Ovis aries: one gene and its partner. The protein of the gene in region 1 purifies or fractionates together with the protein of each later gene. This does not show direct contact. Links are inferred from orthologs where the notes say so. Each region holds a gene or a part of one and is shown on either strand. Other genes may lie near its edges. The genes, in order: ASB2 and RNF7.

Region 1 (4,558 bases):
GACCCACAATTCGGGCTCTTAATTTTCAAAAGCTGAGTGCAAGCACAGGCAACAGGATTTGGAGACCGAGTTTCTCCAGCTTTCTTCTCTATGAGGTTTGTCTGGACTAGGAGGGAGGGGCAAGACAGAGGGCCACCTGAGAAGGGGCCCTGTCCCTGCCCACAGCCCAGTCCTCCCAGGCAGGCCAGATCTGGGATCTGTGACATAGAAAGCAGTGGTATCTGTGCCCTTAATCTGGCAGGGATCCCAAGGAAGAAGTAGGACTCCAAGGACACACTCCATGGAACCTGCTAGAACTTCTTCCTGCCAAGAAAAATCCCCAAACAGTAAAAAGCCCTGGACAGCCCCCTCTCCCCTTGCATCCCTATCATGGCACATGGCCTAGGGGTGCTATGTGTGAACTGACCTTTCGGGGTCATCAGCCACAGTGGCCTGGAGGGACTGTCCCAAGTGAGGGTGAGGCTAGTAGCTGGGAGACAGCCTGGGACTCATCATCCCCTCCTGTCCTCAGCCCCAGGTCAGCCTCTAGAACACTGACCCGACTACAGGGCTCCCTGAACTCACTAAGACTAATTTCCAGACGGAATATGCAAAGTGAGCCACTCTGTGGGGTCGCAAGTCCAATATCCTGCAAGGGGAAGTGATCTCTGAAATGGAAATTATTTTCCATTTAGAGGAGTGGACCAAGTGACATTTCCAGCTTCCCCGACTCCGTAACCTGAGATCTGAGCGCAGACATGGGCATGTGGGTGCCTGGCATCGTGCATGCTCAGGGCGTGTGCCCGTATGTGTGCAGTCTTTGCCACCCGAGGCTAACATTTTGGGCTACTCCATCGAGTCCAGAAGCAGAGAATTTCTTCCCTGGGCCTGAAGGAAGGGCTCCACTGCCGCTGCCCGGGGCTTGCCCACAGGCTTATTTGTTCATCTGTTCCCCTGCCCACCCCACAGACTCCAGCAGCTGGATTCCCACCCTGGGACCCCCAAATATCAGGCTCTGCCACCTGCTACTCACAAAGGCCCCAGCAGTGAACCGCGCATCCTCGCTTCCCTCTTGCTCAGCCCTTCTTCCTCCCTGCCTTCCAGCCTGCTCTCAGTCTCCCTCCGTCCCCTCTTCCTTCCCAGCCTCCCCGACTCCCCTCCTTCCTCCTCTCTTCTCTCCATCCTTTCTTCCCGCTTTTCTGCTTTTCTCTCTCTTCTCTTCCCTTCTCCTCTCTCCCACAATTCCCTCCTTGCTCTTGCTTCCAGCTTTCTCTCCCAGCTCTGTGTCTTACTCTCTGCATCTCTCTCCTCTCTCGCTCCCTCCTGGGGAGTTCCAGAAACATACCCATATATGGCCTCCGTGTCAAGGATCAGAAGTGATGACGTCACGGGAGAGCCAAAGCTCCGAGATGCTCTCCGAAGTCAAGTCCGTAATTGACGCGGCCTGGAGGAGACCAGGATCGTGGCTTCCTCGGTGCAATCTTTAAACAGGAAATCTGAGATTCATAACATCTTATAGTTTGGCTTGCCATCATTGGTCATGCGATGGGCCCGAAATAAACTCCCTGCTTCAAAGGAGAGCGTTTCAGAACTGCCTGGCAGAGCAGTCAGAAGCCCAGGGCCAGGGCTGAAGGCAAACTCAGGGAGCACGTTCTGAATTAAGACACTCTCAGGAAAAATCCTTTTTCTTACCCTTGAATTTTACCCTTGTTTCAGAGCCTAACAGGTAATGCATGCTTTCAACTTTCTTATGCAGAAAGACTGCTTGTCGGGCTGGGACTTAACCGCTGTGGTGTCAAAGTATGTTTGTGTGTCTCCCTCTTTCTCCTATTCTCTTGAGTTATTAAAGCAGGCTGGTGACTTTTATTTTGGATTGGGGGCACAGAGAATCAGCCGTTTGCATGTACTTGTCCAATCTTCCAGAGGATTCTTGCTCAGAGTATCATTCTACTGTGTACTTCTAAAAATGGCAATGCAAAAGGAGTTATCAATGATGCTATTGTTGGTTCTATAGGCCTTGGGCAATGTCTGTATCAGACAAATGACTTTCAGAAATGCTTTTAGGTTGAAGGAGGAGATATTTTCATGCACGGGGGCATTAATTGCATGTGCCATTTATGGAGTGTCTATGGAACATCTATGTATGGGCAGGATTGTGTGTATGTGTGTGGGGGAGTGGTGGTGGTGATAGCAACCTTGGATGCCACGAGCTGTATTTGCAATAACTTGGCATTTAGGAAAGGAAATAGAATCTGCAAACAAAACTAAGATACCACGTAAAGAATGAAAAAGGGTGTGTGTGTAAACACGAGGACGCATTCAAGGAAGTGCTGGCCCTTGAAAAGATGGATGGATGTCTCAGATGCACGGAGGGTGGGTGGGACAGGGACCTCCAGCTGGAGGATCTGCTCGGGCAAAGGCAGACAAGCTGGGGTGGGTCTGCGGAGATAGTAGGGAGAGCCGTGTGGTTATAGCCAAGGGTCAGGAGGTGAGAAGTAGTGGTGATGCTAGAAGGGGAAGTCAGGAATGGGGGCAGGCGTAGGAGATACTGCTGCCACCAGGCCAGGCAAGAGGATGGAACACATTCTGATCATTTTTGAGCAGAGGAGCAGTGGGGAGGATCTGACTTCAGGCAGCTCCCTGCAAAGCCAGGGGAACGAGGAGGCAGGGAGGCAGAGACCCTTAGGTAAGTCATTAAGGCCTGAGTCAGGTCAGAAGTTGAGCCCCCAGCACAGGATAGAAGAGCTTGCCTCGACAACGGGAAAGTTTATGCACGAGGCAGCCGTTGAGGGAGTTCACAAGCACCCAGGCAGAGCCAGCGGGGCCAGCGCACCAGCCACAGCCCCTGACCTCTGCGGTCTGAGGCCCAGGGCAGAGCACAGTGGGGCAGCCAGGGGCAGACTCCAGTCACTTCTGCAACAGTTGGACAGGTCCCGAGAGCTGATGGCAGGCCTGTTTACAGCACAGCCCCCTCCAGGACTGGCGGCTGCCACCACCTGGCAGCCTTCCAGGTTGCATCATCCATTCTTGCACAAACAGTCCAGCCCACGAGGGCCTGGTAGGAGGGGAGGGCATCACCTTCTTCCTCCTCCTTGGGGTGGGGACCATGTGTGATCCACCCCTGGTGACCTGACAATGAATAAGAGCACTCGTACCTGAGCCTTCACTGAGCATTCACCGTGAGCCAGGTGCTGGCCCAGCGCTTGTGCTAGTTCCTCTCACTGACTCTTCTGGGCAGCACGAATTAGAAATGATGGTCACTCCCATTTCCCAAAGGTGGAAACTGAGGTCCCGAGAGGTTAAGGGTCTCATCTAAAGCCAGAGAGCTAGGAGGTGTTGGAGATGGGACTCAAATGCTGGCCTCTTAGCGGATGGGCCTCCAGTGCCCACAGCCTAAGCCATGGTCTCTGAGGTCCCCCAGGGAACCAGCACTGCAGTAAACAGACCCGTCCTGGCACCAATGAACCATCATAAGGTGCTGTACAATGTGAACAAGCTGAATCCAAAACAGTCTTCCCAAAGGAGGCACAAAAATATCCCTGGACCCGCCCACTGTCCTTCCACTGCTGAGCAGAAGAGGGTCAGGCTTCCTGGTGGGGGCAGCTGTCACAGGACTTGTTTATATCTTTACTTCTCATCCTCAGCACCTTCTTTTGAACCAATTAATGCTTGGGAGTATAAATGAATTGTTAAGAGCTTTGTGGCCGAGGAAAACGTTGTGGGGAGGTGATGGTAGCACTGAACTCATGCTCAGTCGCTCAGTCATGTCTGACTCTTCATGACCCTATGGACGCTATAGCCCCCCAGGTTCCTCTGTTCATGGGATTTTCCATACGGAAGTCAGGTGATTCCTAACCTGCCTGCATTGTTTAAAGAAAAGGAGACAGAAGAGAAGGGTAGAAAAGACAGGAAAAGTAGAGGGAGGAGAAGAAAAAGATTTAAGCAAAGGCAGGAGAACAAGAGCAAGCAAACAAACAGAAACAAAAAGGAGAAGGATCCTAGCTGATTTTGGAGTGATCTAGAATAAAAGATTTCCAGCCAGCCCTGTATGTGGTTAGGCTGGGTGAGGAGAGAGAGAGCTCTGGGAGAGCACCCCTGCACCACCTGAGACTTTCTCTTCTGGAGCCTGGAGTTAGAGCTTCCAGAACATTCTACTACCCATGGGTCAAGATGAGAAAGAGTCCATGTTCTCCGGGTGCCCAGAATAGGGCTGGGCAAGGCCATACTTGGGCTTCCTGGATGGCGCTAGTGGTAAAGAACCTGCCCACCAATGCAGGAGACATGAGACGCGGGTTCGATCCCTGGGTGGGGAAGATCCCCTGAAAGAGGGCTTGGCAACCCGCTGCCTGGAGAATTCCGTGGACAGAGGAGCCTGGTGGGCTATACTCCATAGGGTCGCGAAGAGTAGGACAAGACTGAAGCAACTTAGCATGCAAGGCCATACTTGGCCTGTGAGGGCTGGGGCAACAGTGATCAGAGGCTCAGACCTACACGGGGGAGCCCGGCCCCTTCTCATCCCCAGCCCAGGCTTCTGGCACAAGGCAAAGCCTAGCATTCGCTGAGCCCTGGGCAGAAACCG
Region 2 (4,533 bases), on another chromosome or scaffold:
TCTGCCAGAGTTCTGAAGTTTGGTTAGCCTAGACCCAGGGGCACCAGGCCTGACACCAGGAGATGAGGGAATGATGAGACCCTCATCATTAAAATAAAAAGAGGTGCGAAGCTCTGAGTCCTAATCCTGACACAGCAGGTGGCCACCACTAGGTGGTAGTGTGACCAAGCATCTTCCGGTCTCCATGCCTCAGCTTCGGTATCTTTTAAAAGAAGATGTTATCTGCTTTGCTTGGGAAAACATAACATGACCCTGGGCTAGTAACAGAAGAACCTTAGTTTCCACTGTCACCTTCTCAGAATAGCAGAATTACTTTTCTGAATTACTATAAATTACTTTTATAAATATAGCAGAATTACTATAAATTACTTTTGGGGACTTCAGTATTCCTACACATAAAAAGTTAAACTAGATTTAAGTTTCTTAGAGTGTGGTCTCCAGGGTTCCTGGAAGTCTTTCAGGGGACCAACAAGGTCAAAACTATTTACATATTTACATAACAGTATTCATAGCTCTGAGCTTCCCAGGTAGCTCAGCTGGTAAACAATCCGCCTGTAATGCAGGAGACCCCGGTTGAATTCCTGGGTTGGGAAGATCCCCTGGGGAAGGGAATGGCTACCCACTCCAGTATTCTTGCCTGGAAAATCCTATGGACAGAGAAGCCTGGCGGGCTACATACAGTCCATGGGATCTGCACAGTCGGACACGACTGAGCGACGAAGCACAGCACAGCACTCATAGCTATTTCTCTTCATTCTCTCTTGTGAGTGTACAATATTGGTATTCTAAGGATAACTTGTAATGGATTTCTTACTGTTTTGAAGTGAATTAATATATTCACATTTCCCCCGTTTTCTTAAAAAGGAAATACATATGTATAAGCGTGTATATGTACACATCCATCCTATACAAACAAAAGTTCTTAAATGTCCTTAAGTAATTTTTAAGTGTAAAGGGGTCCCAAGACCAAAATATTTGAGAACTGTTGAACCAGATTCCTAGCTCGTCATTCATTCACTCAACATATAACTGTCCCTCCCGAGACAGCATTTCTTAACGAAGGAGATGATCAAGAAATAGTCCCCCCACCCAAAAAGAAAAAAGAAATAGTCCCCGCTCCCCCCAGGGCGTTTACATTTGAGAAGGACGAATATATCAACAAGACAACGTCTAAAAGCGGTGTCATGAAGACATAAAGCAGGACACGTGTCTCCCCCGCGCAGGGTCGGTCCGGGGTCCCTCACCCCGCTGAGCTGGCCGGGCGTTGGGGACGCGAGTACCGGGAACTAGGACACCGGGAAGCCGCTGGTGCCGGCGTACGGTGACGTCACTGGGCCGCGCCAGCCAATCACGGGCGCCCCACGGTCCTAGACCCCCGCGGCGGCCCGTGGCCTGCGGGCGGCGCTGTGGCCCGTCGGACGGCCCCACTGAGCCGCCATAGCCGCCCGCCTCCCACGACCCAACGTCTCCGTCGCCGGCTCCGCGCCGCCGCTATGGCCGACGTGGAAGACGGTGAGGAACCCTGTGCCCTGTCCTCTCACTCGGGGAGCGCAGGATCCAAGTCGGGCGGTGACAAAATGTTCTCTCTCAAGAAGTGGAACGCGGTGGCCATGTGGAGCTGGGACGTGGAGTGCGATACGTGCGCCATCTGCAGGGTCCAGGTGATGGGTAAGCGCAGCAGGCGAGGCCCCGGCTGTGCTGCGGCCTCCGCAGGCCCGGCTTCGGGCGTGGGGGGAAGGACCAAGCCTTGGAGAGACCGTTCCGGGAGGAGTAGGGGCGGGATCGCCCTGCCCCGGCCCCAGGAGACCGCGGGCCACGCCCGAGCTGGTCGTTCAGCAGGCGACTTGTGCCGGGGACGGGTATTCTGGGGGAATAGGGGGGTAGCAGGCAGGACAGTTAAACAAGGTCATTTCCAGTAGTGATCGGTGTGATCACGACAATAAAAGTAGGTGATTTGACGGGAGCTGGGAGGAACCACTTCGGTTTGTGTGGCCAGCGACCGCACCCTTTTCCGAAAGCAAACCACACAGAGGTCAAGGTCAAGGCCCTGAGTCAGCGGGTCAGTCGGATGGTTCTGGTCACACACCAAAGTGATGCTCTGGAGTCATTTTCCCCCCAAACGGCCGCTAGTCGTGCTCTGGAGAGGCGCAGGGAAGAAGAGTGTTCCTAGCCGTCCCCTTTCTAGATTGGCTACTGTTCTGCTGGCTTTTAAACCTGGATGATTCAAGATTGGTCAGATCGCACTCGGTTGGCTTGAACTAGAAGAATGTAAACCCTTTTATTCAGAGACATGAAGCTTCATCTCTTTACTGGCCACTCCCCATCCTAGCATGCAATTTCTTGGAGAAGGGTAGTGCCCTCAAGTCTGGCCTTTCTGGAAAGCCCTCTTTTGCAAACTTGTTACTTCTTTCTATGATATTTTTAATGAAAATATTGGACCACGTGAAGCCTTTCAGAGCAGCTTCATCTCGTTGTGTTTTATATGGTCTCTGTTTTAAGATCTTAGACGACCTTAAAAAAGAGTTGCTGTTTAAATGCACGTTATATTTTTAAATAGGGCATTTAAAACTACAGCATTTAAGAGTGTCTTAAATGTCATTTCTTGAAGGTAATTGGAGAAAACTGAGGCTTCTGTAGTTTGAAAACTTTGTGTCTTGCACTGAAAAATGAGACAGTTGGAGAAAGTAACTTAAAAGATGCTTTCCCTTCTTGAGCATTGAAAATTTAGACCTACCAGAAACAAGAGATTTCTCAATTTACTCTCTCTGTAGTATGCACTTATGTTTTTTATTCGTAGGAATTTGTTTTAAAGAGAATTTGCAACTATGGGATTCAAATATTTTTTTACTTTTTAAAAGAACTAGATTTCAGATGTGATCGACTTATTTTGTGTATCGGGTTTTTAGGTACTTAGTTTATGGGCCTGCAATACAGCCCCCTTGCCCTAACCCTTTCTTGAAAGCTAGAATCATAACTTCCAGTTTGTGGGATTTTTTTTCTTTTTTAGTTTAAAATAATTTTCCTAAAAGAGCATCTTATTTTTCTCCCCAAAGAAAAATTTTAAATTAGTAGGTAGAAATGCAAAATATAAAATAATGGTTGAAAGTTTGCAAGAAATAAACTTTACTGGGATATTTAAGGTAAGTCAAAGTATGGGCTATAAATGACTCACTTCTCACATTAACTTTCTAATTATAACAAGTATTTGCTACTGTGGATTAATGTTTCATATTTACAACAGCTGTACTTTGGGTTCAGAAAAGTATTCTGGGCTAGACCTCTGTATTGTGTTTATGAGGTGTTAAAATCTATTTGGTGGTCAGGTGACAGCAGAAGGAAGTGTGTTTTCTGGCATCATTCTAAAAGGTGTTACTGTACTCCTTAGAAATGCGCTGTTTTAGATATTAAGAACATCATCAAAGGAAAATGTTTTCTTTTATATGAAACTTTAGGAATTTTTATCTGTTCAGATCAGTTGTTGATAGTGAATCTAAATAAAAGCCGTAGGCATGATTCAGAGACTTCTAGATTCTATAAAAAGCCCACTTAATCCTGTGTCCTTGATATTTGAATTCATCTCATACACCTAAATGATTTGTTATAACTTCTTGATCTAAGAATTGCCAGTCAGCCCATTCTAATGTGGTTAAGACACTCTTCCTTGGTTTCCACTCTGCCGACTTTATTGGGAAAGGAGCTGCTAGCAAGCACCGGTGAGGAAGAGGGGACGAGGTTTGCTTGTATTGTCAAGGGATAAAGAGCCAGAGTAACCTTCCACAGCTATCTGTTAACTTGGACGTTTGACATAACCTTCTGGAGCCTTGTTTTCCTAACTTGTAAAAGAGACAGTTGGGATCCTGAACTTTCTGTGACTGCACAGAACCAGAGGCATGTCTTCCCCCTTATATCATGATCCTTGCGATATTTAACTGTTTACCTATCCACTTTCCCATTTACTGGTGAGACCAGGGACCCAGACTTGGTCATTTTGGTGGCCCCCAGGCATTACTCTTTGCACAGGGTAGGTACTCAGTAACTGTGAAATTGAAGAAAGCCTCAGGAGGCAGTGGTGGTTTTTAATCCACACTGAAGAGGCCAGGGTAGTGTGTTTTTTTTAAGGGTAAGAGCATGCAGAGAGGAGCAAACAAATGCCTGAGCATAATCCAGTGTAAGAAAAGAAGTAGGCTTCAACTCTATCCTGTTTCTATTTTTATAGAATTTTTCTCTAATTTATATTAAAATCTTTTTTTTTTTTCTGTTAGTTTGAACTTCCTTTCACCCAACTTTGACTGCTTTCAGCTAGTGAATGAGTCCATTTCTTTGGTTCCTAAAATATTCTATATTACGTTCTTCAAGCAAATGGTAGTACAGACTGAATTTTGAAAAGTTCTAGTATATCCTTTTGGTTCCCATTCCTCATGTTTACTCCCAGGTAATTTATTAAAATACTTTACCGTTGTTGGGTAAATGCTTTGGGCTCAGATTATTTGTAAAGGGAGCATTTCCTTAAAAAGAAAAAATAAGAGAGAGAAC

The links.
Region 2: the proteins of ASB2 (region 1) and RNF7 purify together in Homo sapiens (affinity purification with western blotting; 3 studies listed by BioGRID and IntAct, with this or other methods). This does not show direct contact. The link is inferred for Ovis aries from reciprocal best matches to the Homo sapiens genes ASB2 and RNF7.

Annotation. Positions count from the first base shown.
Region 1 is NC_056071.1:56,361,939-56,366,496, reverse strand, and holds the start of ASB2 (ankyrin repeat and SOCS box protein 2), read left to right. Parts: upstream 1-1,579; 5' UTR 1,580-1,705; intron 1,706-4,558. UniProt on the Homo sapiens protein: Substrate-recognition component of a SCF-like ECS (Elongin-Cullin-SOCS-box protein) E3 ubiquitin-protein ligase complex which mediates the ubiquitination and subsequent proteasomal degradation of target proteins.
Region 2 is NC_056054.1:247,817,214-247,821,746, reverse strand, and holds the start of RNF7 (RING-box protein 2), read left to right. Parts: upstream 1-1,464; 5' UTR 1,465-1,493; coding exon 1,494-1,668; intron 1,669-4,533. UniProt on the Homo sapiens protein: Catalytic component of multiple cullin-5-RING E3 ubiquitin-protein ligase complexes (ECS complexes), which mediate the ubiquitination and subsequent proteasomal degradation of target proteins.